7 linked regions of the Sus scrofa genome follow. The protein of the gene in region 1 interacts with the protein of each later gene in a pairwise test. Links are inferred from orthologs where the notes say so. Each region holds a gene or a part of one and is shown in the gene's direction. Other genes may lie near its edges. The genes, in order: LMO2, STAT1, NUTM1, RINT1, ADAMTSL4, PRKG1 and ZNF24.

Region 1 (3,500 bases):
CACGAATAAGCCCTGTGCTGCCTGGGCTTGTTAATCTTTTGCATTTTTAAAAAGGAGAGGAAAAAAAAAATAGTCTGGGAGAGCCCAATGTTAATTAACTTGTGTCTTGGTGACATGAAATAATTCTTCTCCCTGCTACATTCCTAGACAACATGTTAATTAACTCTGTGTTAGTGCAGGCGTTTCCAGCCATCCTTTCATATTTATATTATTGTTATTAAAATGGGCAGGAGGAAGCTTAAGACATGACACCTCTTGACAGAGGAGAAAAATCGTTTCTTGCTGCAGAGATGGCCCTTTAGCCATGGACTTGTTTGCTTGCATTCTGAACATTTTTGGTATGTCTGGGCAAAAGACAAGTTGAAGGGGTCCTGTGATGGGGTTCATCCTTCTCCCCTGCCCTCCAAGGAGAACTTCTTCCCCTGAGGATTTCCAGTGGCTGACTTGCCTGTTACAGTCTTTTTCAGGCTTTTAGCCTCAAATATTCATGAGACTCCCGTGCAGAACTGGAATAAACCCCGGGCTATTAGGTGGTTTTGTTGGGAACCTAACAGTAGTTGCTAATATTAAAGCTCAGCCCAGATCCCCACAGATTCCTTTTTACCAATCTGTGTGTGTCGTGCACCCGCCCCCGCCACCCCCGGCCATGGTTTACCTTCAGCTGCCAGCACCTGCACCTGTTAAAAGCCAGAGGTGTACCCACTACCCCTGCAGATGCCCAGCTGACCTTGCCCCATGACTGACACTGCCAGAGACCAAAGTCCTGCAATCTTGCCTGGAGCCAGGGCCGCCTGGAGACACAGCTTCCACCCTAGAGTTCCCACGCGGTCAGGTCGAAGCTCCCCTCTGAGGCCCTTGGCCCCAGATCGCAACTTTGCTTGCCTTCCACCCCTTCTGCCTGGCTTCCTGCCTCCTACCCATTTCCCCTGATTACACATCCTCAGTCATATGAGGCTTCAGGTCCGCTCCTGGGCCATCCAGCCCAAGGCACCGATTTTGGTGCCAGAGGTCAACACTCAATTTAGATGTCAAGTCCTGGCTTATTTTCATGAGTGGCAAAGTCTCAGCAAACCAGAGCTGGAAGGGGCTGCAGAGACCTTCTCTTCCTGGTCTCTTGCTCTACAGCTTAAGACACAGGAGCCAGGGCAGAGGATGTCATTGGCACCTGGCTAATTAGAGGTGATGCTGGGACTTGAACTTGTCTCCCAGACATCAGTCCTTCGTCCGTCCCTTCATTAGCTGCCTGACGTGGGTTGTAATTTACCCCCGACTTCCCTTTAATAAACGCTCTCCTCCCATAAGGGTCACACACCCAGGCGCCTGGCGTCATTCCACGCACACGGTTTTGTGAGTCATCGATTCTCGCTCGGCCCCAACTCAACTTACTGAACGATCAGGAAACCAGAACTGCCTTTCTACTTCCTGACCGCCAAGGTGGCAGCTCCCCACGGCTCCTCCATTTGCTGCCTCGGGATAAAATGTTCTCCCCCAGTAATGAGTTTGCTCCCAGGTGGTGCCTCGAAAACACTCAAAGGGATCTTCAAAGGGAAAGCGGGATTCGGAGAGAAGCTAGCTGGCCTGGCTGTAACAGGGAGCGCTCTGCTCACAGACCACATCTTGATCCCATTAGTGTAGCCCACACATTTCAAAATTTGTCAGCTGCCCTTATCTCCCCTACGGCCACTCAGAATGTGCCGGTTGATTCTCTATTTGAAGTTAATAAGAACAAGCATTTACCTAACACTGCCCCCAAAGGGTGGGAAGGACCCCCTGAAATGCCATGTGATCAGGCACGTGCAGAAATGACTTCCGGCAGCAAGACTGGCCCCTTTGGGAATACCCCCAAGGTGTGTTAAAACACAGCCAGAGTTGGCTTCGCCCTTGACCTTGGCTGTTGGTGGTTTGACAGGCTGCATTGTATCCTTCTAACAGCTGGGTGAGGCAGGCGCTATGAGCGCTGCCGTTTCATAAGCTCAGAGGAATCGGAGGTCTCACCAGGGTCACTCAGGTACTCAGGGCGAGTCCTGGACTGAGTCTGAGTCTGCTGATTCCCATGCCTGTGGGCTGATTTGCAAACTTCAGCCTGCATTCGAATCACCTGGAAGTGCTCAGGATCGCCCGCAGAGTACCTCCATCAGGAGGGCCCGAGTGTGCATTTCTCACAAGCTCCCAGCGAGTGCAAATGCGGCTGGTCCCCGGACCACACTGAGACCCACTGCACTGGGCTCCGCCATATTGCATTTCCCACCTTGACACTGAATATTCCTTGAAGTAATTGACCAACTGAGGCTTCGGAGGGTCTTAGTTTCAATGTCAGAAGCCTCTCCAGAGACTCGTGCTGTCGGGGCAGCAAGGATCTTCAATTAAGATCTTGCATTGGGCATGGAGAGACGTCGCTTGTCCTCCAGATCTGAGGCATGCTTAGCTATACCACGTGTTTTCTCTCAAACTGCCTCTGTCTCCCAGGAGCTGGGGTCCCAGCGAACAATCATGTGGCCTTTGTGCCTTTGGAGTCATTCAAAACCAGTCCTCCCCTTGGGTGGAATTAGCGGCTGTTGATATGATAGATCTTGGGAGCTTCAGAAAGATGCCCAATTCATCGCATTCCTGGTCAGTTTCCTCTCAAAGGGGCCCCCAGGGGTTTCCTCCTGCTCTTCTTCTGAACTGAGAGTTTTGGAGTTCCATTGCGGCTCAGCAGGAACGAACCCAGCTAGTATCCATGAGGATGTGGGTTCAATCCCTGGCCCTGCTCCGTGGGGTAAGGATCCAGCATTGCTGTGGTGCAGATGGCGTAGACACAGCTCGGATCCCACATTGCTGCGGCTGTGGTGTAGGCTGGCAGCTGCAGCTCCAATTCAACCCCTAGCCTGGGAACTTCCATGGGTGTGGCCCTAAAAAAGCAAAAAGCCCCCCAAAACAAAAAAAACCTGAGAGTTCCCCTGGGAGGAGGCACGCCAGCCATGCCTACCCTCTTACAAAGCTTCAGCTGAGAGTCTTTTCCACAGAGGCGGCCTGGGGCAGCCTAAAGGCGAGGAGAGTGGTTGTTGCAGGCAGGGAGAGAGCTCATGAGAGGGATGAGGTGTTATGGCCAACACAAATGCCGCAGATACCATTTCACCCCAGAGGACCCTCTTCCTTCCAGGAAAGTACATAGGAGTCGGTTATCTGTCTGGACCCAGCTCTTCCTTGCTTCCCGACGTCTTGGAAATCCAGCCAGCATCACGGAACCCATCCCCAAGCCCTCTCATCTCTGCCAGTCTCTTTTGAGCTTTTTCTCTCTTTTCCTCCCCCAGGCTTTTTGGCCAAGACGGTCTGTGCGCATCCTGTGACAAGCGGATCCGTGCCTACGAGATGACCATGCGGGTGAAAGACAAAGTGTATCACCTGGAATGTTTCAAGTGTGCCGCCTGTCAGAAGCACTTCTGTGTGGGCGACAGATACCTCCTCATCAACTCGGACATAGTGTGCGAGCAGGACATCTACGAGTGGACTAAGATCAA
Region 2 (3,500 bases), on another chromosome or scaffold:
CTAGAGACCTCGAAAAGGACACCCGCCTATAGTATGATTATGAACAGGAAAGCAGAGTGTCGATTTGTTTGACCTCACGTGGAAACGCACATATTGAGCAGCTCAAGGTTTTCACCACTGTGTGCCTGGGTGTGTCCACAGATGACTGCAAAAGTGCCACAAGTATTGATTCTGGAGTTAAATTTTAGTGAGTAGATGAATTCACAAATGTGAATCCTCAAGTAATGAGAATCGACTGTATTTCTCTTCTGCTGCTGTGAAAATGTCTGTGTCACAGAGGTTAGCACTGAACTCTGGCACGGCTCCACTTTTCAATGCCAAGCTTGTGACTGGTGACTCATTAGTAGCTCTTAACTTCTGGGTGTTTTCTCTCTAGAATCTGTCCTTCTTCCTGAACCCACCTTGTGCACGATGGTCTCAGCTTTCAGAGGTGCTGAGTTGGCAGTTTTCTTCTGTCACCAAAAGAGGTCTCAATGTGGACCAGCTGAACATGCTGGGAGAGAAACTTCTTGGTATGAACATATTAACTTTTTGTATATCTAACCATTGAAATTCATAAAAATATCCTGACTTGCCCCCCTTTCCCTCTTTGCTCTCTATTTTGTTCAAGGTAGAAGAGTGCTAAAAATCTGTTGGCTTTTCCAGCTGCGGTTTGTTATAGCTGCGGTTTGTTATAGCTGAGTGAAAATTATGCCTCACCTTGGAAGGAGATACAGACCTGATAAAAAATTTTAAAAATGAATTATTTCAGAGTTCCCTTTGTGGCTCGGTGGTAACAAACCCAAATGGTATCCATGAGGATGTGGGTTCGATTCCTGGCCTCGCTCAGTGGGTTAAGGATCTGGCGTTGCCATGAGTTGTATAGGTCACAGACGTGGCTTGGATCTGGTGTGGCTGTGGCATAGGCCAGTGGCTACAGCTCCAATTTGACCCCTAACCTGGGAACCTCCATATGCCATGGGTACAGCCCTAAAAAGCAAAAGAAACAATAAAAAAAATGAAATATTTCCCCATTATCTCATATTAACATTTCTGAGCAGAGTTCCTAAGGGAAAGATTTCTGAGTTATGTAAAATGTATTATTTGTGGCTAGAATATTCTTTGATAAGAAAGATGAAAGTCATGTTAACCTTGGGGAGAAAAAAGCCCCCAGCATGGTAAGAATAAGGTCGTGGGGCCGCCCACACAGCACACACCCAGGTGTCTTGTGTCAGGTGGGCAGAGACACGGCCCACATCAGGAGGATGCCTGTCACCAGCAGTGCCTGATGTGGTCCCGGCCATGCTAGAAAATTCCCTGTCGGTAGCTAATGTCATGGGCTTTTTAGTCTTCCACACTAAGCAAATCCAAGACCTCTTGGCCTCAAGGTCAGATCTTCAGTGCATGGGAGTATCTGAACTATTTCTTTAAAAATCCATGGGTACCTTTTCTCTGGATTTGCTTACTGTATAGCAGAGCTTCATGTACTGCAAATACCAGTAGGCTTTTCCTAACCAAATGGCTCTCAGCAGTGCCTTCTCTTGGCCATGTAGCTGTCACAGTGGGGACCTTGTGCTGTTTTAGTAAAAAGTGAGAAATCCCTTATTTGCACCAAATTAAGACATATCTTTTCCACCTGTGATGGCTTATCTGTGGTTCTCTGTGAGGAAATGGTGGGCTCACTGCCTCTTACAGCCTGGGCCACTTCACTTTGTAGTGATAACCACTAGGCTTCCTTGCCCTCTCTCATTTCGCTAACTTGGCATTTGATTTGCATCGATCTCCCTGAGCCCGTGTCCTATTTGGAGGAGGGCTGAGGGACATGCCTATCATCTAAAATAAGCTTCTAAAGTCAAGTGTCAGTTAAATAGATCTCCTAGGGGCCCATCTTTCATCTTAGTTCAAACTTAGGAAAAAGCTCTGTAGGGTCCCTGGAAGAGGAGCCTACAGTAGAGGGAGAGGGAAGCAGGCAGTGGGAAACGATGCTGCACAAAGAGGGACCAGGTGGAGGTTCTCTAGAAAGTGCAGGTAATTAATATTAGTGCCTCTGGGAGTTTCAGCCAGGTACATACAACCTTCCTTTGTTGAATGTTGGCTTTCTGAGAGCAAATACAAGAGCCATCAGTCCAGCCAAAGCTTCAGAATCGATTTCCATTTCCTGAAAATGCTTATTTGTATTTGTTTAGGTCCCACTGCTGGCCCTGACGGTCTTATTCCCTGGACGAGGTTCTGTAAGGTGGGTACTGTCTGGGCTTTAGACTTTGGAGCTCTTTACACTCTGTGTAAAGGAGTTCTCGCCGTGACGCTGACCGCCCTGTGCTTACTTTGGCATATTCCTCTCTCACCCATGGAACCCCAAGGGCAAGTTGTTTACTTTCCTTCAGCTCCAAAGGTTAGTCTCCAAGTGTGAGCCTGACAGGAAGCACCTGCCTGTGTGATAACATTCTTTCATATCCGAAGTGAGTCTTCTGTTTGCTCACAGTGGCCCTTGGCCTGGCGGCATTTCAGCCCCATCCATGAGGAATGCGCTCTGTGCCGACGTGGCTGGCCTGCAGGGCCAGATGAGCTTGCCCGAGTCTGCTCCAGCAGTGAGACCAGTTGAGGGGAATAATCAGACGCCACTAGGGTCACCAGACAGTGTTGACAAGCTTGTGCTACTGGATATTAGTAGTGCAAATGAAGGCAGCTCATGTTCCGTGATTCACCCTGGAGGTCATTCCTTGGCCGGGTGGCTGCTGTTTGGAGAGGGAAGCAGAGCCCAGCTCAGGAAGTGGAGAACTTGGTGTCTGAATGCTGATAAGAGGGAGGGCCTTCTCTGGAGGGGACAGCCCTAGCTTTGGCAGCTGGGCAGTGTTTGCAAACTAAAATCCCACGGTGGGAGGAGGCATGGTAAGTCACTGTATTGGATTTTGTGGTTCATAATGTGTGCATTTGTATACTTGCAGGAAAACATAAATGACAAAAATTTTCCTTTCTGGCTTTGGATTGAAAGTATCCTTGAACTCATTAAGAAACACCTGCTCTCTCTCTGGAATGATGGGTAAGGGCCATTGATAGATGTATTCTTGAAACATGTTGAGCACACGCTCCCTACTGCAAGGCTGGGATAGGCCTGACCCAGACAGACTTCATTACTTGACAGGACTATGTGCATCTCACACACACAGCTGTTTTACAGGCTGTCCCTTCAGGTATTCATGATAGTGGACCCTCATAAGATTAAATCTATACCTATCATAGTATATGTCTATTTGCATTTTCAAAGCTAAATTAGAAAGCCCTGAGTGCAATTCATGCATTCATTCATTCTACAAAAATTTCTTGAGCACCTAGTTTCTTGCCTCTCAGAAAAGAAGAAAAACCTTTTTTAACTTGGTAAGTTGTTTCTAATTTGTTCCCAGGGTCAGTTGTTATTTCAGCAGAGGCTTTAACCTGGTCATAAGTCTTGGATATGAACATGGATTGTCTGAGCCTTCCTCTTCGCTATGAGATGCATAAATTCAGACATTTTTGTAGTAGAA
Region 3 (4,115 bases), on another chromosome or scaffold:
TATCACAAGATACACACCCATTTCAGAGGCAGTGAGCTTCTATTACCTGGAGAAACCAGGGCTCCAGGACCCAGAACCCCTTTTACTTTAGGGAAGAAAGAAGAAGGTTTTCTTCCCTCCCCTCTTTTACATCCGGTTCCCTCGCCCTATTTCAAAGTATTGGCGGTAAAGAGTGCATGATGGGTATTCAATATTCTGTACAGCGAAAAGAGCGTGAAGTTATTTTATGAAACTGGTGAAGTATGTTTTAATGGTCGAACCAAGATTCAAACTCAAGTCTCTACCACAAATTCAACGCCCATTCTTATAGTGGTGAGTAGCTAATAAGACGCACCCCTTAGGGGTATTTCGAATTTTTAAAAGAACGTACAAATTCTCCTTATAGGACTTCTAGTTAAAGCAATGAATTTGGAACCGAGATATCTTTACGAAGGTGGCCGTTATTATTTATAACGGCAGAAACGTTGTAATATATATTAAGTTTATAACCAGAAAAAGCTGAAAGCTTTTTTAAAAAGAGTATAGTTTGTGTTTATTATAATTGCATAAAATACCTTTGCAAGGATTCAGAGGAAATTTGGTTTTCCCTGGGGTAAATAACTCGGTTCCAGAGGAAAGGAATGGTTGGAGACTTGTTATATTTCATTTTGCATAGTTTGACTTTTGAACCATGCTGACATATTACCATTTAAAAAATTAAGATTATTAACAAAAATTTTAAACAAAAATAACAAACAAAAAGAAGGACTTTTTGCTCTTGAAATTTTAGGCTGAATAGCAGTTTTTGATGGAATGGGAGGCTTTTCAGCCAGGGTTAAGGCTAAGCCTTCTGTGGACTGCAGAGCTGATGGTAGTGGACAGTTTGGGAACTGCAGCACAGCTTTCCAAGGAAATGATATGTATACAGCAATTCAATGCCCTTGATCTTCTAAGACAACCCTAATTTCAAACATTCTGTTCCCTTGATCCTTAAGTACACAGACTATGTGCTCTGAATTTGGTTCAGAAAATACAGCCAACACTGAATTAAGTCAAGGGTTTGCCAGAACCTGTTATTAATAGGAAGTCAGTTATAGAACTGGGTAGCATTGAAAGACAAAAACTAGATGTATTGGTGAAGAATTCTGTAGGGAACCAAGATGTGGTTGGGAATCCAGGAAAGAATCTGCAAGTTGCCCCAGAGAGGTGTGCAACAATTGTGTTGCCATACTCTGATTTGGAGGGAATTCCTGGTTACTGCCCACTTCCAGAGCCCTTTGTGGAATCTCTCCCTAACCCCACCCCATAATGCCACCTCCCCTCCCCCCCTGCAGAATGCCTTGGGTCCTAGATTCTAGTTCTGTTTTGATCTGATGTTTACCATTCCTTCCTTGGATCCCTGTGTATCTACTGGAGCCAGGTTACTCTCTGGGTGCTGGACCCACCGTGTCATTGTGAAGGCTTCCAGGCAGCCACGGTTAGTGCCCAAACCGGAGAGGATGGCTTCAGATGGAGGTGAGTCTGCAGGTGGGGGAGGTTGGGGAGAGTCTACCACCTGCTCACTTCTCGGAGATTCAACACTTGACGCTTCACCTGGGCTGACCTAGAGGGATGTGAGTGCACTAGACCCCCACCCAAGGCGTCACACTTGGGAAGGCTAGGGAAGGAGATTGTGGGAGCTGGAGTTCCCCAGTAGTGCAGCAGGTTAAGGATCCAGTGTTGTCATAATGTGGCTGGGGTCAAGTCCCTGCTGAGATGAGCTTATGATCCTTGGCCTCCCCTCCTCCCCTGGAGGGTGTGGCCAAAACAACAACAACAAAACTGGGGATTGGGGGAGGAAGAGAGCTTCCTGGGTGGCCAATCAAAGTGCCTCAGAGGAGAGTGCTGAGTAGAGAGAAGGGATGGCAGTTAGCAGCTTGCCTCTCTGGAAGAGGGACCCCTTCAACATGCTTCTGTATGGCAGGGGCAGGGGTATGCGTTGTACAAGGGGCACGAGTGTTTCAAAGGGGAGGCCCAAGTCGTGAGGTCTTCTTTAGGCAGCTGGAGCCTGCTCTGGGATTTTGCGCGGAGAGAACTGAGCTGAGGCTGCTCTCCATCTCATTGGGTAGGGGGAGATTGGAAGTCTTGGCTAGAAAACCGTTCAGTGGGGTCATCTGTTGCCAAGTCTGTAGGGAAATGTTCTCCAGGAAGCTAGACTAGAAGGTGCTGTAAGTGCCTCTGTTCAGAGCCTCCTGGATCTGCCTTTAGTTCAGGGTGTGGGTTTCCTTGCTGCCCCAGGGCCAGGGGTGGGAGGTCACTCAGCAGCGATGAGAACTGACACTTTCCAGAGGTGCTCTGTTTTTTTTCCACCTTTCGAGGAGCTCAGGCCTTCAGACCCATTTCATGGTGTTCTGTACTTTGGGGAATATTCCTGGCCCTCTGCTCTAGGCTTCAGGGGAAGTTTGCTGCTCTTCATCATCTCCTTCACGGTCAGGAAGCTGAGTGTTGTTAATTTGCCAGTGGAATATTCTTCATAAGAGGGGGAGGAGAGTAGCATGAAATTAGCCAGATGATCTTCTATTATTATCATTAAAAGTCTTAGGGACACATGTCCCAGTTAATTAAGTACATGTTTTACGTATTTATCCTTGGTTTCTTTGACTAGAGTCCTCCTAGCTCGTGCTCAGCAGGAACTGTGTTTCAGTCTTCGTTATCAGTGCCTTGTTCAAAAGTGGATCCTAAACTTCTGATACTGGGAGCTCCGAACAGAAAGATCACAGATAAAAGTACAACACGTCCAGCAGTTATTTAAAGCTCTGGAAACCTCCCTCTCCACACCGCCCTCCCCAATCCATTTCCTGGCCCTTATCTCTAGTCATTCCTTGCTGTTATGTAACAAATTTCTGGGAACCAAACATATAATCCACACACACACACACCCGCTCCTGGGAATAGTGCTTCTTTGAGTGGTGACAGGGGCCACAGAGCAGCTGGGAGCAGGGTTCAGGTGGTTTGAATGTGTTTGTAATGGGTGGGAATAAAAGATGTCCCTGGATGCTAGGTGGCATGTGTCATGGGGTATGAGCTTATGGTTCAGAGGTCATTGTCAATGGGGAGTAAGGGACAGAAACAGTTGGAGGACATTTGCAAACTATACAAGTTCCCCCTTCCTCACCTGTTGAGAATCAGTGGCCTGCTTCTTCAGGGACTAGAGTGGAACTCAGATGGACGTAACTGCTGGTCTCTTTTTCTCCTCCTCCATCCCCTCTTTTTCTTTGTCTCTACAGTGTCTCCATTGTCAGCACCGGACATGACCATGAAATCTGGCGCTGCCCTGTCTCCTTTCACAGCACTTCCCCTCCCCCAGCCTGCTCCTGGGCCACCAGACCAACCACCCTGGGAGCAGCCCTCACAGCCCCCGATGCATCCAGCATTCTCTTTAGGCAACCCCCTGGTGCTCTCTGCTTTCCCTAGTCCATTGCTGGTAACAGGGGATGGGGGCCCTGGCCCCAGTGGAGCTGGAGCTAGCAAGGTCATTGTCAAAGTCCAGACAGAAGGGGGGCCGGCTGAGCCCTCTCAAACTCAGAACTTTATCCTTACTCAGACTGCCCTCAATTGGATTGCCTCAGGTGCTCCCTGTGGGGGCCCTGAGTGTCCTGCCACCGGATTCCTGACAGCCTCCAACGTGAAGACCCTCCTGCCCACCAAGGCTATTGGAGTGAGCCAGGAGGGCCCACCAGGCCTTTCTGCTCAGGCTCCACTGCCAGCTGCCCAACTGGCCCCCATTGTACCCCCAGAAAAGGCTTGGCCAGGACCACGTGAGACAACTGGGGAAGGAGGTCCTCCAGCCGCCCGATCCAAGCCCTCTCTGGGTGACCTCTCCTATACCTCCAAGGGTGTTTATGAGAATTTCCGACGCTGGCAGCGCTACAAAGCCTTGGCACGGAGGCACTTATCCCAAAGTCCTGATGCAGAGGCCCTCTCCTGCTTTCTTATGTAAGTGCGGAGACCTGAGATTCATTATCCTAGAGGCTTTTCAAGAAGGAGGACTTGGGGATGGACAAAAGAGTTTAGGCTCTTTAGGAATACTTGAAGGAGGGCAGGTCCTGAGGGTGATAGAGATGTTATTGAGAATGAAAATAACAACAGCAGCAATG
Region 4 (4,272 bases), on another chromosome or scaffold:
CACCCAACCCCACCACTACCACACTTGCCTTTCTTTTATTTTATCCGTCCAATATGGTTACATTGTACTTTGGCTGCCCTGACATTGTGTCTGTAAGGATGCAAGTTCAATACCTGGCCTCACTCGGTGGGTTAAGATCTGACTCCCTGGCCTGGGAACTCCATATGCTCCATATGCTCAATGGGTTAAGGATCCAGATTTGCCCTGAGCTGTGGTGTAGGTCGTAGATGCGGCTCGGACTCTGTGTTGCTGTGACTGTGGTGTAGGCCAGTGGCTATAGCTCCATTTTGATCCTAGCCTGGGAACCTCCATATGCCTTAGGCGCAGCCCTAAAAGACAAAAAAATAAAATAAGGAGTGCCTGTCATGGCTCAGTGGTTAAGGAACCCGACTAGTACCCATGAGAACGGGATTTGATCCCTGGCCTTGCTCAGTGACTTAAGGATCCGGGTTGCCGTGAGCTGTGGTGTAGGTCACAGATGTGGCTTGGATCCCGTGTTGCTATGGCTGTGGCGTAGGCCAGCGGCTACAGCTTCGATTGGACCCCTAGCCTGGGAACCACCATATGCTGTGGGTGTGGCCCGAAAAAGACAAAATAAAAATAAAATAAAATAAAATAGTAGACTGTTGGAGTTCCCTGGTTGCTCAGTGGGATAAGGATCCGGCCTTGTCACTGCTGTGGCTCCGGTTACTGCTATGGTGAGTTCAATCCCTAGCCGGGGAATTACCGTTATTGTGGCCAAAAAGTAAAAACAAAATAGTAGCTCGTGATTGTTTTATAGTCGCAGTGGCGTCATATCTCAGGACATAAATAAATAAATACAATGTTCTCATTGAATCGGTTCTGTTTTCTCTAAGGGTTGCTTTTTCTCCCTTTCTCTGTTAGTTTTAGTCTCAATGGTACCACTTTACATGTTTATTTTTGAAGTTGTCGCATCCCTGAATTCTCTACCTATATCATGCTGCCAGTCCTGGTCCTCCTCCCTGGCAAAGTACAGACTTTGATCTGAAGTATATATTAGATGCTGAGTCCTTTCCCTCTGTTCTGCTCCCAGAATGTTTACAATCAGATCTGCACCCTTCAGGTAGGAAGTTGAAGTGTAACTTGTAGTTAAATCTGATTAGCTTTAAAAGAATGATCCAAAGATACTGACATTGGAAATTATGCGATTAAACCACCCAACCAAATTACATTACTACTTGTCAACAAGCTCCCTCACACTCTCAGAACATCTGGGATATCCTCTAAAATATAAGTTGAAATGATTCATAATGAATTTACAGTGTGGAAGGAAGGATACTTTGAATCTCCATCATTAATGTTTCCAAAGCAGTGAAGGAGGTTTTACTTAGAATGACAAGGACTGCCTTTGCTCGCCCCCTTTTCTTCTTCCAGAGCGTCCGATCCGGATCCAAGCCGGCAGGGGGCGCCACCGCGCAAGACCGGCAACTGCGCGAGAAGGGCCTCTCTGGAAAGAAAGGAAGAAACCAGAGAGACGGCAGAGGAAGTTGCCGTGGCGTCCAACGCTAAGGTCTCGAAAGGTTCAGCCGCTGTCTAGCCGCTGGCCGGAGCCAGGGTCCACTGACCACGCTGGCTGCACATGGAACCGAGGACTCGCGCGGAGGCAGGATGCTCCCGGCCAGCGAGATCGGCGAAGCGCCAGCAACCCCGGTGAGGGGGCCCTAGTGGCCGCGGGAGGGGACACTGGTGGCCCAGTGAGGTGGCATAGACCTCTCAGGAGAGGTAATCCCAATGCAGTGGCTGTGGCGATACCGATGAGATGACACAGATCTTTCTGGGGAGGTGGCTGTGGTGGCCTCAAGGAGCTAGCCCTTTTTGGAACCTGCATCAGATCGCACCTCAGGAAGTCTCCAGGGGGGAGGGGTCTGGAACCTTGGGGTCCTCCCGTGGATGCCCTCTGGGAACCCTGTATGAATTTCACTTATTGCTTCAGTCTTAATGTGTTTGTCACACCTGCTCTCCTTCTAGTGCTGTTCTGAAAATGGTGACCAAAGGAAGGATGTCAAGGACAAAAGTAAGCAGACTCCGAACGCCTTTGCACTTTCCACTCAGCATTTCTCCAAAATTCAGTCCTGCAGGGTCTACATCCAAGAAGGATGGTACCTTGTTATTTTTTAGATGAAGCACCTTTTTTTTTTTTTTTATTTCCGTAGAGTATCCTTTCCTAGTATTAAATACTGATTATTATCATACATATATTTTTGGCTTTCAGGATTGTACAATATGGGATGATTTGGAGAAGAAGGCTTCCTGACTCCTACCTAGTGCAGGAACTGGTGGAGTCTCACTCAATACTGGACTTAAATTAGTTGGGAACTGCCTGTTATTGCAATGAAGCATCAACTTAATAAGCATCACGAGTTAGAACGGGCTGATGATCTAGGAGAGATAACCTCCACCTGTGTTGGGTTTAAAGGAGTCAAATGATAACTTTTCCTATTGGCTTGCCTTTAATTAGACTTAGCCCATATGCTTTTACAAGTGGAATCAATCAGAGGACAAGCGTGTAGGGGAATAATTTTTCAGTACTTGCCTTGTAAACTCAAATTCTTCTTTGAGGGAGGTCTTTGGTGGCCTAGATCTCTGGTTAGGACTCAGTGCTTTCACTGCTGCAGCCCAGGTTTGATCCCTGGTCTGGGAACTGAGATCCCACATCAGGCTGCTGCACTTGGCAGCCCCCCAGGCCCAAAAGAATCTGGTAGTAAAATTAAAAACAAATTGTTTGGAGTAAATCAAGCATTTACTGTTCACAGGGTTTTTTGTGAGTTGCAAAATATTTTTCCCAGTATCCCCCCATTCATTCTCTGTTACCACCATCAGACAGAAAGGGTGAGGACACTTTTTTCTTGCCTCTGTAGGGGATACCTTAGCAGCAGATGGTAACTGCTCCAGGCCTGTCAAATAGATGCCTTCAAATGATAATTAGTTATACTCTATCTTCAGTGAATTAGCACATAAAAGTTGATTTGGGAAGGGCACAACAGACAACTTGGTTCCTGGTTCTTGAACTGAACCCAGAAGAAGGAAAGATCATTATTTCCATTTCCTACCTAAGATAAAAGCATATATATGCCAGGGATGTAGACATGTGCCATTTTATTTTAATGAGCTAGGCATGGCACACTGGTGGAAATCAAGGAATATTCAGGGGCCTTTGGAGGGAAATTTACTGGGAGAGGAAGAGGGAAGCATGTAACAGCTGTTTCATCAGAGTGTTTTGGTTCTTCTGGCCGTGGCACATAGCCTGGGAATGAATAGTAATAGAAAGGGTGCCTAAGTTACCATATTAGTTTTAGGGGTTAGACCTGCCCTTAACATTGCCTCCTGCTACAGTCTGCCTCAGAAAGAAAGCTTTAACTACTTCATAGTGCTTGCCAGTCACAGCTGCCACAACTCAGCTCCTTTTCCTTAAAGGATTTGAGAGTACCTCCTGTACCTCTCTCAATTAAACACTTTCTTTTTCTTTTTTTTTTTTTTTTTGTCTTTTTGCTATTTCTTTGGGCCGCTCCCTCGGCATATGGAGGTTCCCAGGCTAGGGGTCTAATCAGAGCTGCAGCCACCGGCCTACGCCAGAGCCACAGCAACTCGGGATCCGAGCCGCGTGTGCAACCTACACCACAGCTCACGGCAACGCCGGATCGTTAACCCACTGAGCAAGGCCAGGGACCGAACCCGCAACCTCATGGTTCCTAGTCGGATTCGTTAACCACTGCGCCACGATGGGAACTCCCAACACTTTATTTTTCTACCTTTGCCCCACTCATATGTTTGGGAAGTTGATGCCATTAAGCTGTGGACTTTGTCCTTGACCTTCCTTTGGTGGCTTGGTCAACTTCTTTGCAATTAGAAGTGCTCCTTACAAAAAACAGGAAAAGAGACATCACCCCTACGCCATCAGCAGTGTGTCATTTTGAAGAATGTCATTTGACTAAGACTGTACTATGCTACATTTAAATGGTTAAATCAAAAGAATATAATTTTTACTTTTTTATTTTTTAAAGTATAGTGCCACTTTCTGTCTTACAGGAAAATGACCCAGTTATACATTCCTATACAGTAGGACCTTATTTCTTTTCCATTCTAAGTGTAACAGTTTGCATCTACTAACCCAAAACTCCCAGTCTATCCCACTCCCTCCCTCTCCTCCTTGGCAAGCACAAGTCTGTTCTCTATGGTCTGTGAGTCTGTTTCTGTTCTGTGTATAGGTTCATTTGTGCCATTTTTTGGGGGGGGGGCTGTTGAAAAAGAGCT
Region 5 (4,236 bases), on another chromosome or scaffold:
TGGCCTTGCTCGGTGCCATGAGCTGTGGTGTAGGCCTGCGGTTACAGCTCTGATTAGACCCCTAGCCTGGGAACCTCCATATGCCGAGGGAGTGGCCCTAGAAAAAGCAAAAAAATACAGCAAACAAACAAACTGAATAGACTCAATAATACACGACTGCGGTTGATGAATAAATGGCAAATAAAAATTTAAATCGTAGTGTCCATTTGTTATCTACTGTCAGCCATTTTGTATATATTATTTTTCTTTGTTTTTAACTAATGACATAGATAATGCTCATGGTTAAAAATTCAAAAACATATAAGCATAGAGTGACAGCCTCCTAACCCCACAACCCCTCCCCAGGTATTGTCTCCAATTTTGAGTCTGGGATGTATTCTTCCATAAATAGACAGACGTATCTCCAAGCCTGTCATATGAATCAGATAAGCCCATTTTACAGATGAGGAAACTGCAGCACAGAAAGTTTGAAGTACTCATCCAAGACCACAGAGCTGACAAGTCCTGGAGCAGAGATTCAAATCTAAATCGTCTGACTCCTAAGTCAGCGCATTCCTCCCGCTATGCCCTGTGTGTCAAATTTTATGGATGAAGAAACCTAGGCTTGGAGTTCCCCTCCTGGCTCAGCGGTAATCAATCCAACAAGTATCCATGAGGATGTGGGTTCGATCCCTGGCGTCGCTCAGCGGGCTAAGGATCTGGTCTTGCCATGAGCCGTGGCATAGGTTCAGAAGCTTCTCGGATCCCTGCGTTGCTGTGGTGTTGGCCGGGACTGCAGCTCTGGTTATACCCATAGCCTGGGAACTTCCCTATGCCCCTGGTGTGGCCCTAAAAAGACCAAAAAAGAAAAGAAGAAAAAAAAAAAAAAAAAAAAAGAAGAAGAAGAAGAAAAAGAAGAAACCGAGGCTCATAGAGGTCCCCTGAGCAGCCAGAACCACATGGTTCACAGCCAAACGTGGGAGAGGCAGGGATGAGAGTGTGCTTGCACCAGAGGCTGCGTGGAGGAGAGGGCCTCCGCCGATGGGGCATCTGGGATCGTGCGGGTCTATCTCGGCCCAGCAGTGCCCAGATCTGGGCCCAGAGGCTCGTCCACGCCGCTGGTGTACAGGAACCACCCAGCCCCTTGGCGCCCCTCGCGGCCGCCCCGCCAGGGCAGGCGCAGCACTCGCACCGCCCACTCGGAGCCGGCTGGGAGGCCCGGGTCCCGGAGTCCCGAGCCGCAGCCAGGCCGGGAGACAGTGCCCGGGGGCGATGGCTGTCTTCGAACAGGGCTGGGACCCCTTCGGCTTCGCCCCCTCGAGCCGTCGGCGGGCGCCGGGCGGGAGTAGCTAGTCCCGCTACTCTGGGTGGGTGGCCTTAGCGAGCCGGGGGCTCGGGGTGGGCCGCCCAGACCCGGGGGCCGGCGAGGGGCGCGGGCCGGGCGCGTGGCGGGAGGGCGGAGTGGGGGCGGAGAGGGGGCGTGGCGGGGGCGGAGCCGCGGCCGGAGGCGGCAGAGTCCGGAGCCCGGCTCAAGGGCCGCCGTGGCCGCCGCGGAGCAAAGCTGTCTCGAGAGAGCGCCCGGGCGCAGAGGGGTTAACGGGCCGCCGGGGCCTCGAAGAGCAGGTACAGACCTTCCCTGGGACCCCTGGCCCCGGCTGCCCTCTCTCCCAGGTCCCGTTAGACCACCGGCCCTGCGCGCCCGCGCCACCCGAGTTCCCTGCTCCCCAGGGTCGCGCCCCAGCCACGACCCCGGCCCCAGCTCTTAGAGCCTCGGAAGATCTTCCAGTCCCTGGGGCCGGATTCCTGGGGAGGGGGTCTGATCCCTTGGAACGCTGGCCCCGTCACCCGGCCAAAATTCCTACTAAGTCATAAAGTCGGAAAACATACGCAGGACCTCGCGGCATGCGCCGGGCGCCACCTGCCCTCATCTGAAAGGGTGCTCCTGGAGGATGTGTATCCCACCCTCCACCCCCGTCCTTTGGCCCTGGAGTTGGGGGATAGGGACGATGGGAGGGGTGCTGGTGGGTGCCCGTGATCAAACTCAGCCTGATTGGAAAGGAAGGACACCTGTCGGGTTGGGCCTCCCTCACTCAGGAGTGGAAGGTGCAAGGAGAACCAAAGTGTTTTCTCTCAGCATAGGGACTCTCCAGCCAGCCCTGGAACCTGCTGTCCAGCCTCCTGCCCCTCCGTGGCACCCATTTCCCAGAGGTGGGTCCCCTGGGGGTGAAGGGGTTAGTCTCTCCTTAATCTTCACTGGCCAGTGTGGAGGTGTGGCCGGGAGGAGCCCAGGTTCGTCTAGACCAATGTTAGCCTGGCCCAAGGGTGACCACTTCTGACCTCTCCTTTCCTCACCCTGGGCGGTGAGACACACCAGATGAGGAACATGAAAAGGGTGAAAAACACAAATGTGTGTCTGTTTCCGCAGTGGAGGGGGTGTCGGCCCCCTGCCCAGCTATGCAGGAGGTGGGGTAGGACTTTTCCAGAGAGGGAGCCAGGCCTGGCCATGGCCCCAGGAGCTCACGTCACCCCACCCCCCACCCCTCACTTCTCCAGGGAACTGCCAAAGCCAAACTCAGCTCAGGACAGGATTATGTGTACTGGGTAGACCCATGGAGAGAGAAAGCAAGATACAGACCTGGGGTAGCTGCGAGCAGAAGCAGAGAGGGATTGGAGAGGGGCCTGGCAGCAAGAAGGGGTAGACAGTGACCATCACCCCATCTCTCCTTCCCTTCAACCTCCCTCCAGTGAGAGGCAGGCAGAGAGCTGAAGGCTTGGGTGGAACGTTGGCCCTTCTCTGGAGCCCCTACCCGATCCCCCATCAGGGTGGAGTTGCTGACCTCAGTGGCCAGCCCAGCCAAGGGAAGGAGCAGACATCAGCAACCCCTTCCCAACCCCAAGGAGCTGAAGAGACCCTGCAGCTCGGGCTCAACCACTGCGACCCCTCCCTCAACTTCCCAAGTCCTGGGGTCTCAGGGAGGGGAGTGCGGGCTGGGAGTTGCTACCCCCAAGCACATTCCTGCCCTTCCCGCTGTCATTTTCCTGCCCCTGAGCTGGCCCACCTCGGCATTAGCTCCTTGGATTCCTCTCCCGGGTGCCTTTCAGATCCAACAGAAACATTTTTTTTTTTTTCCTGGAAAGCAGAGCTCCAAGCAGCCTGAGGAGTGGGGGTGGAAAGGCCTCACTGTGAGCAGGAAGGGGTTGGGGGGCAAGGGGGAGCGGTGGAAGAGTCAGGCTTAGACCAGGGGACTAAGTTCTGCTTCCCAGATGATCAAGGCTAGACTTCAGGATGGACTTCCCAGCTCTTCAGAAGATAGACCAATGCGGGACTGGGGAGCAACGACATCTCTAGCTGCATCTCCCCTTCCCAGGTTCTCCAAGCCCATCAGAATCTCGCCTGAAGTAAGCCCTCACTGATCCAGGGCTGGACGCCAGCCCCCAGAGGGAGGTGAAGTCTCAGTGGGAAAAATCACTTGCTTCTCTAGAGATTAAACCATCAGCCCATTTAGTTTATCCCTTGGCTGAAAAGCATTTGAGGCAGGCAGAGATGTGCTTGAGGGTTCCAGAAGGAGCTTAGCTAAGAAGGGAAGAGATGGAGTTCCTGTCGTGGCTCAGCGGTTAACAACCCCAACTAGGATCCATGAGGATGCGGGTTTGATCCCTGGCCTTGCTCAATGGGTTAAGGATCCGGCATCCCTTGAGCTGTGGTGTAGGTCATAGACACGGCTCTGATCTGGTGTTGCCACAGCTGTAGCTCCGATGAGACTCCTAGCCTGGGAACCTCCATAAAAGAAAGGAAGAGAAAGCTGGGAGACAGGCAGGGGAAACCCAGGGGCTTCCAGTCAGCAGCTCAGAGGGGGTGCCTGGCAAGTGCTTGCTGAGCCTCTTTTCTCAGCTTTCCAGGAGGAGCCAGGTGGAAAGCAACTTGAGAAGGATGCATGTGCCTGGGCTGGCTTTGAGACTGTCCCTAGTCAGGACTGGAAGGAGCTGAGACCTTCCTACAGTTGAGGGAGGGGATTTAGCCTGAGTCTGGAGGCTGAGGGCAGACCCTCACCCTCTAGCCTGGGCAGACGGACAAAGAAGTGTTCCTTCTTCTTCCCACCCTTAGGATCTTAAAGAGCTGGGCCAGTCTTCTCCACGCCTCCCTCCTCACTCTGACATGTCTTGCTGAGGGGTCATCCCTCCCAGTCCCCAGCCTTCCCGAGACTGGGTCCGTCTTCAGTCCTCTGAAGCCTAGATGCCCAAGTAGAGTGTTTCCTT
Region 6 (2,871 bases), on another chromosome or scaffold:
TACTAGAATTAAAAAAAGGAGTTGCTTTCTAATTGGTGTTTAAAATTTTGACAATTAGTTTTTTAAAAAATATGCATTCCATTGAATAAGCTAATATTCAAAAACCTGCAATTAATAGAAAACATTTTCTTCACATTGAAAATGGGTGCCTGTTTTCTATCAGTCATGGACATCATAGAAGTTTCAATGAGACGACTTTAGCTGAGGTAAAATGCCTTAACTGTCTACTTTTTTTCTTTCTAAGGTGGTTTGAGGGCTTTAATTGGGAAGGCTTAAGAAAAGGCACCTTGACACCTCCTATAATACCAAGTGTAAGTAGACCTTCCAGCTTGTAATTGTGTGACACACATGAAGGTGTTTCTCAGTCAAAGATCTGTTATTTTTAAAATTTTTATCCTATGGTCATATTAAATAAACTGGTTAAATACCAGGTTAACATAATATCTTTTAAAATCCAAGGTTAAAAACAGTGTTAAATATATACAGATGTTGACAGAAGAGTATAATCTTTTATTCCTCATAATAGTAAAAGGTTTATACATCTTTGCGCAAGGATATATTAACAACTTTAGTCATATTCATGATTATTAGCAAAATATGTATACTATTTTAAATTTCTGCACATAATGTGTTCTCTCTCTACAAGACACAGTAAGTTCTCAACCATTTAGTGTGTACATGGATATAGTTGAGTGAGATAGGATAATCTGCTACTGTTAACTTCTGTTTATGATTCCAGTTTACTCTTTACTGTGCTCTGTCTCCAAGAGTACAACCCAAATGGACCATATCAAAACATTCCCTGCCCTTTGCTTTCTTACTGAGTTTGGTCAACAGTCCAGCAGCCATTTTCAACAGCTGTCAATTCCTGGCCAATACTGTTTCAGTTATGCTCCCACTTAGCTCCTTCTTCCCTGTGCCCACAGTACTTTGAAGCACTCCCAAGAACAATAGTGTTCTTTTACCCTTTCAGCGGTCTCTAAAAGAAAAGATTCTCTTTTCTTAACATATCAGGTGGTTTGTTAAACTGCTAGTCTACTAAGTGGACTAAATGTTTTACACTATATTAACCTGAAAGAAATTTCAATGGATTCCATTTTTATTTTTATTCAGTACTAGATCTATCTTAAAAAAAAAAAAAAGTGCTGTGTTTTAACTAAGGAAGAAAGAGTTGCTTTGCAGTCCTGAGCCTTTCATTTACATACTTTATTTATAGGACTAATTCAGGGTTGCTCCTTGTTCAGAAACATTTTTTCCTACATCTAAGATTTCTATGCTAATATTTGTTTATTCACAAGCAAATTATTTAAGATGCTCATTGCATTCATAAAGTTTTGTTTTTAGAAACAAAATATGAAATTCTAAATATTATATAATATGGGAGAATTAAAGTGTGTTTCTTCACTGCTTTTACTGATGCTCTGCAGATTAGACTTTGCCTAATAAACTTATAAGAGTTTTGCTTAAGTTCAGTAATGGCTTTTTATTATACTCAGAATACACACACAAAATCCTTAGGATGACTTCTGCCTATTTGTCCTATTTCTCATTCCACCCCCTTCCTCTCTTACACAATAGCCAAATGACCTCTTTTAGATCTTTCACAGCATGAAGACCTCGCTCACCTCAGGAGCTTTGTATTCAAAGCTCTTTACTGAATTCATTAATTCTTAGCTTTAAGTCAATACTTTTTCAACGAGGCATTCCATGATCATGCTTTTACTATCATGACACCTTCTATTTTTTTCTTCATAACACTAATCAAAATTTATACTTATCTACAGATATTTGTGATGATTTGTTTTAATCACATTATTATATCTTAGAGTATAAACTCTATGAGGGCAAGAACCATGTTCATTTTTATTCACCACTGTTCTCTCAACACAAAGAGCAAAACCCACTCAGAGGAGACATTCCAAAAATAGCCATTGAGTATAGAATGGATAAAGAATGCTTTAAAAAAATCTAGCTGGACTCCCACTGATAAAAATCAGAAATCTTTTACTGTTTGCTCTCTCATTTGCAGGTTGCATCACCCACAGACACAAGCAATTTTGACAGTTTCCCTGAGGACAGTGATGAACCACCACCTGATGACAACTCAGGATGGGACATAGACTTCTAATGTATTTCTCTTACCTGCTTCTGCCTTGCTGAAGACAGCTTTTTCTGAGACATAGCTGCCAGCAAACCTGAAGGAAAGAGAGAAGACTAGTGCTCGGGGTCACCATGATGCCTTTGATCGATGCTGCTCCAGTAACTACAGTGGCATTAGGACTTATTGCTTAGATGACAGTAGTGCTCTTTACATGTTTTCTGTTTGAACCTAAAAACAGCAGTTGACATGGTGGTCCTGAAGCAAAGCCTTTTACCAGTAAAGAGATGTTTTCTATTGTTGCAATGATCTTGCTTTGCTCTGATTATAATTTGAAAGACTGTAGGAAACACTTCAATCTAGTGAAAAGAGTCAGTACCTTGCTAGAATTATCAAGATCAAAAAATAATATATTGGGTACGATAGATTACTATGGTACAAAAACTGAACTCTTCCCTTTCTTCAAGTGAGGGCTGTAGGATATATTACTGCAAGCTGGTGTATATACCGCACACAAGAGGACCACACATCTGTTGGTCAGAGTTCATGTCAAACCAGTGCTAGAAGTTTCATGATTTTATTTCCCAGCAGTGCTGATGACGAGACTGAATGTTACCTTTCCTTTCTGACAGATTTAAAAAATTGATATGATAAAAGCACAACTGCTATGGATTCTGCTGAGAACTCTCATAGCAGGTATATATGCGTTTTCACAGAGGACTGAAGAAAATAATGTGCATGATATTTTTTTTTCTTTTTGATAAATTGGCATG
Region 7 (4,294 bases), on another chromosome or scaffold:
CAGCCAAGCAGGTTGGTGGTAGTAGCCAAGTAGAAAAGAGAAAAAAAAAAAAAGTCTGGATTTCAGAAACCTCCTAAAAAAGAAAGAGAAGAAGGGCCATCAGAAGTAGCAGGTGTTCTGGGGAGGCAAAATCCTGGTCAGAGAGTAAAGTAGTGCTATGGGATCATCAGCTGACTCACTTGCGCTCTCATTCATGAATTCAGCAGAGCCTAAGGGCACTTTGCAAAGGGCACTCTGAAAGAGGCAGAAAGCTGAAGCCTGAAGATCTTGGAAGGCTGCTGGAAGGCTGGACCTGTACTTCTAACATAGACCTTAAACAACAGGGCTCTTTTGTGTGGTTCCTGATGCTGAACATGTGACCTAGCAAAGGCAGCAATGTGACCAGCCCACATTTCATTCATTTATTCAACAAATATTTATTGAGTTCTCTATGTACCAGGCAGTCAGCATCCCGGGACTACATGGGAATACTGTGGTGAACAAGACAGGCAAGGTCCCTGCCCTTATGGGACTTACAAACAAAACGAAATAAAACAAAAACCAGTGAAATGAATACATAAGATCACTTCTACCCAGTGCTATGAGCGTGAGAAGGCTTCCAGGAGGAAGAAATGGTCAGGAAGGCTGACGATTGCCAGCCACAACAAGGCTAAGAGCTGGGGTGTGGGGGTAAGGTGGGGGCAGGGAAAAACCACAGGGGGCCTTACAGGCCAATGTAAGCAGTTTTTAATGTCATAATTAATGCAGTAGGGATCCACTGAAGGCCTTTAAGTAGGGGCATTAAGTGGTCTGATTTATGTTTTTAAATCACTTTGGCAGCTGTTTTGTAGTATGAAATGTCAAGCCTAAAGTCAGAAGATAACCATGCATTCTGCAAATTCACTCTGCGATCATTGCCAAAGCTCTTGATTAAGAGTCTCATCTTGTTTCCCTGACAAATTAATTAGTCATAATAAAGCTCTATAGCACAGCAAATGGTAGCCAAAGGTTAGAGTCATGCCTTGGCTTCAAATCTTGCTTCGTACTTACTAGTTATGTATTCTCCGCAAGCTATTTACTTGAGCCTCAATTACCTCAGCTGTGAAATGGGGATAATAAAAGTTCTTACATCATAGGGTTTTCACGAAAATTAAATTACAAGACATGTAAACCACGGTGACAGAACCTGGTACAACGTGGTTAGCACACATAAATATTAGCTTTTGTTACTTCTTTCAGAGGATTACTGTGAAGATCACATGAGATAATGCATGTGAAAAGACTTATGACACCGTAAAGACTACATTAGTGGCAGAATTTTTTCTTTCCTTTCCTGGTCTTTTAAGGGGAACACAGAAGACTGGGCTAACCAGGGGAGAGAGGCGTGAGGCCAAGCGCAGCCTCAAAGCGGTCATTGTAGTTGGACAGCCCTTCCCCCAGCCCGGAGCGCATCTCTATGGCAACGCGGGGCTTCGCCTACCCCCCGCCTCCTGGGGCCCACAGACCGGAAGCAGTCTGCGCCGGGGGCTTCTGGGAAACGGCTTGTGAGCGGCGGCGTTTCTGCGTCGGCCGTGGACAGCGAAGCGGTTGCAGTTCCCGAGCTTGAGGTTTGCGCGAGAGAGGGGGGAAGAGCGTGCGAGGGAGGCTGGGCTAGAGGCTGTGGTCCGCTTGGCAAGAGTTAGCGAAAAAGCTTGGCGGTGACCTTCCTTGGCTTCCCGGGAGGCGCGGGGGACAGGCCACGGTCTCAGCGCCCAGCAGCTGGGAGACAGGGAGGGATAGACAGAAAGCCAGATAGGGCTTTCGGCACCCTTGGAGAGTCCTCCCTTCCTTGTGCCTTCCGCGACCCCCGCCTTCCCCCCTCCCCCATCGGCCGGTTTTGTTCTATTTCGAGGCCCTGGCATCTCGCGGAGGGTTCTGGGATTCTTTTCGGGTGGAGGGGGGTGGGCGGTCCTCCGCCGTGGCTGCCGGGACTTGTAGTTTGGCCGGCCTCGAGCGGAAGTGCCGTGACTCCGGCGCTGTTGAGGCTAGGTGGCCTCTGGTCTTCCGAAAGCCGCAGCCGGGAGTGTGGAGAGAAGAGGGGCTGGAGTGGTCTGGTGGGGGCCGGGTTCGCCACGGCACTCCGCTGAGTGAGTGGGAAGGTCGCGTGGGACAGGACTCCCTGCGCAAACCTGGTTGGGACTGCGGGTTCGCATTCCCCGCACCTCCTCACGTCCCATCGGCAGGGTGCTGTATGAAAACGTAAAGGGGAGAGAAATTTTATTTTTCTAGAGTGTTTGAGCCAATGGTAAGGTAGGGTTTTGGAATAGGAACAAACGAATACTGTTGGCTAAACCTTGTTTATAAGGCCGCCACACTCCAGAGTGCTTAAACAAACCTGTATGTATATTACTTGGTAAGATTTTTTTCTGATACCTAGACTTGATAGGTTTACAGGAAGTTTTGGGCAGTTACTGACTTTCAGATTCCGGGCCCTGAATAGATAATATTGAGTAACTGCATGGCTTGTTCCCAGTAGGTGTTTTAAACAATGGCATAGGCATGACTGTGCAAATACTAAGGAAAGGATCAGAAATAGCCCAAGGTTTCCCTGAAGGTAGAAGCTGGGGAGATTGTGAGTCATCCAGTGTAAGGATTAGAGTCTGCGCCACTGTGGGAAGTCAAGGTGTTATGAGAGTCCCTTTTCTTCATAGAATTTGCTATGATTAATGCCCACATTACAAATTGAAAGGTACTTATGGTGTCTCGGGTGACTGAATAATATTTGAATTTTATGGCACCTAGTGGTTTTTTTCAACATCATGTATCTGTTATTGAGCAGGTGAATATTTTTTTCATGTATATTTTAGTCCAGGGAGTTCTTAAACATTTTAAAACTATTTCTTAGCCCTGAAAAAAAAAAATTGTCAAAATTTTTTAAGCAGGTGCTAAAAAAGATACCCCTCCTTTTGAGGTGACTCAGGTGTGTCAGGTTACACCGGTATTGAATTGCAAATAATGTGTTCCATTTAGATAACACCGAGATAGGCAAGTTTTGTAGACATAGATTGGCATACTTCTCTCAAAAGGGCCAGATGGTAAATATTAAGTTTTTCATGACATGTAGCATTTATTGCAACTACTCAACTCTATTGAGTAGAGTACAGTAGTCACGCTGTTGTAGCATCAATAGTGAACAAATAAGTAAAATTATTTATGGAGACAGACACTTTCATTTCTATCAATATTCACCTGACATGAAGTGTTCTTTTGATTTTTTTCAACCATATAAAAATGTGAAAACTATTCTCAGTGCAAGCATTATTGAAAAATAGGCAGTGGGCCAGATTTAGCAGTGAACTGGAACTTCTGTTGTAGGCTATTGATTGGCATGTTTAATTTAGTAAAAATACATTTTCTTTTCTTCTATCAGGGTATGTTCAGATTCTTAGGATATTTGGTCATTTATATTGTTTTCATTTCTTGTGCCTCAGGAGTGCCTGTGAAGAAAACAGGGTATTTCCCTGAGGCCTGTCTCCTACCTTGATTGTCTTTTCTTGGAGTATTATAAATCAGGATGTCTGCACAGTCAGTGGAAGAAGATTCAATACTTATCATCCCAACTCCAGATGAAGAGGAAAAAATTCTGAGGGTGAAGTTGGAGGAGGATCCTGATGGCGAAGAGGGGTCAAGTATCCCTTGGAACCACCTCCCTGACCCGGAGGTTTTCCGACAGCGCTTCAGGCAGTTTGGATACCAGGATTCACCTGGGCCCCGTGAAGCTGTGAGCCAGCTTCGAGAACTTTGCCGTCTATGGCTCAGGCCAGAGACACACACAAAAGAACAAATCTTGGAGCTGGTAGTACTGGAGCAGTTTGTTGCCATCCTGCCCAAGGAGCTACAGACTTGGGTTCGAGAGCATCATCCAGAGAATGGAGAGGAGGCAGTGACCGTTCTAGAGGATTTAGAGAGTGAGCTAGATGACCCTGGACAGCCGGTAAGCCCGCTTGTGTTGCATTCCTGGGTCAGGAGCCCTGACATGGCAGTAGGCGCAGCTGCTGATTTAATGCCACTCAGCTAAGTTAGAATTCTGTTTATGCCTCCACCTGCCCCCCATTATTTATGCTGCTTTGTCATCTAGGCCTCTGCAGCATATGTTTCGTGTGGTTGCTTTTGTGTGTGTGTTTTTGATTCTCAACAGATTCCTTCTCATTTGAACCAGTCCTGTTATTTCCAGGTTTCTCTTCGGCGACGAAAACGGGACGTGCTAGTAGAGGAGATTGTATCTCAAGAAGAAGCTCAGGGATTACCAAGTTCTGAGCTTGATGCTGTGGAAAAC

The links.
Region 2: the proteins of LMO2 (region 1) and STAT1 interact in a two-hybrid assay, tested with the Homo sapiens proteins (2 studies listed by BioGRID and IntAct). The two-hybrid records come from large-scale screens. The link is inferred for Sus scrofa from reciprocal best matches to the Homo sapiens genes LMO2 and STAT1.
Region 3: the proteins of LMO2 (region 1) and NUTM1 interact in binary tests that used the Homo sapiens proteins (3 or more experiments, as listed by UniProt). The two-hybrid records come from large-scale screens. The link is inferred for Sus scrofa from reciprocal best matches to the Homo sapiens genes LMO2 and NUTM1.
Region 4: the proteins of LMO2 (region 1) and RINT1 interact in binary tests that used the Homo sapiens proteins (3 or more experiments, as listed by UniProt). The two-hybrid records come from large-scale screens. The link is inferred for Sus scrofa from reciprocal best matches to the Homo sapiens genes LMO2 and RINT1.
Region 5: the proteins of LMO2 (region 1) and ADAMTSL4 interact in binary tests that used the Homo sapiens proteins (3 or more experiments, as listed by UniProt). The two-hybrid records come from large-scale screens. The link is inferred for Sus scrofa from reciprocal best matches to the Homo sapiens genes LMO2 and ADAMTSL4.
Region 6: the proteins of LMO2 (region 1) and PRKG1 interact in binary tests that used the Homo sapiens proteins (3 or more experiments, as listed by UniProt). The two-hybrid records come from large-scale screens. The link is inferred for Sus scrofa from reciprocal best matches to the Homo sapiens genes LMO2 and PRKG1.
Region 7: the proteins of LMO2 (region 1) and ZNF24 interact in binary tests that used the Homo sapiens proteins (3 or more experiments, as listed by UniProt). The two-hybrid records come from large-scale screens. The link is inferred for Sus scrofa from reciprocal best matches to the Homo sapiens genes LMO2 and ZNF24.

Annotation. Positions count from the first base shown.
Region 1 is NC_010444.4:27,051,136-27,054,635, forward strand, and holds part of LMO2 (rhombotin-2), read left to right. Parts: intron 1-3,293; coding exon 3,294-3,500. UniProt on the Homo sapiens protein: Acts with TAL1/SCL to regulate red blood cell development. Also acts with LDB1 to maintain erythroid precursors in an immature state.
Region 2 is NC_010457.5:95,611,820-95,615,319, reverse strand, and holds part of STAT1 (signal transducer and activator of transcription 1), read left to right. Parts: intron 1-376; coding exon 377-512; intron 513-2,165; coding exon 2,166-2,215; intron 2,216-2,924; coding exon 2,925-3,019; intron 3,020-3,500. UniProt on the Homo sapiens protein: Signal transducer and transcription activator that mediates cellular responses to interferons (IFNs), cytokine KITLG/SCF and other cytokines and other growth factors.
Region 3 is NC_010449.5:80,156,698-80,160,812, reverse strand, and holds the start of NUTM1 (NUT family member 1), read left to right. Parts: upstream 1-1,315; 5' UTR 1,316-1,352; coding exon 1,353-1,494; intron 1,495-3,245; coding exon 3,246-3,954; intron 3,955-4,115. UniProt on the Homo sapiens protein: Plays a role in the regulation of proliferation. Regulates TERT expression by modulating SP1 binding to TERT promoter binding sites.
Region 4 is NC_010451.4:105,391,381-105,395,652, forward strand, and holds the start of RINT1 (RAD50-interacting protein 1), read left to right. Parts: upstream 1-1,472; 5' UTR 1,473-1,629; coding exon 1,630-1,671; intron 1,672-1,989; coding exon 1,990-2,035; intron 2,036-4,272. UniProt on the Homo sapiens protein: Involved in regulation of membrane traffic between the Golgi and the endoplasmic reticulum (ER); the function is proposed to depend on its association in the NRZ complex which is believed to play a role in SNARE assembly at the ER.
Region 5 is NC_010446.5:98,586,456-98,590,691, reverse strand, and holds the start of ADAMTSL4 (ADAMTS-like protein 4), read left to right. Parts: upstream 1-1,436; 5' UTR 1,437-1,602; intron 1,603-2,113; 5' UTR 2,114-2,187; intron 2,188-3,347; exon of another isoform or gene 3,348-3,424; intron 3,425-4,084; 5' UTR 4,085-4,236. UniProt on the Homo sapiens protein: Positive regulation of apoptosis. May facilitate FBN1 microfibril biogenesis.
Region 6 is NC_010456.5:97,562,210-97,565,080, reverse strand, and holds the end of PRKG1 (cGMP-dependent protein kinase 1), read left to right. Parts: intron 1-244; coding exon 245-311; intron 312-2,029; coding exon 2,030-2,128; 3' UTR 2,129-2,371; downstream 2,372-2,871. UniProt on the Homo sapiens protein: Serine/threonine protein kinase that acts as a key mediator of the nitric oxide (NO)/cGMP signaling pathway. GMP binding activates PRKG1, which phosphorylates serines and threonines on many cellular proteins.
Region 7 is NC_010448.4:119,164,405-119,168,698, reverse strand, and holds the start of ZNF24 (zinc finger protein 24), read left to right. Parts: upstream 1-1,494; 5' UTR 1,495-1,586; intron 1,587-3,444; exon of another isoform or gene 3,445-3,449; 5' UTR 3,450-3,532; coding exon 3,533-3,952; intron 3,953-4,192; coding exon 4,193-4,294. UniProt on the Homo sapiens protein: Transcription factor required for myelination of differentiated oligodendrocytes. Required for the conversion of oligodendrocytes from the premyelinating to the myelinating state.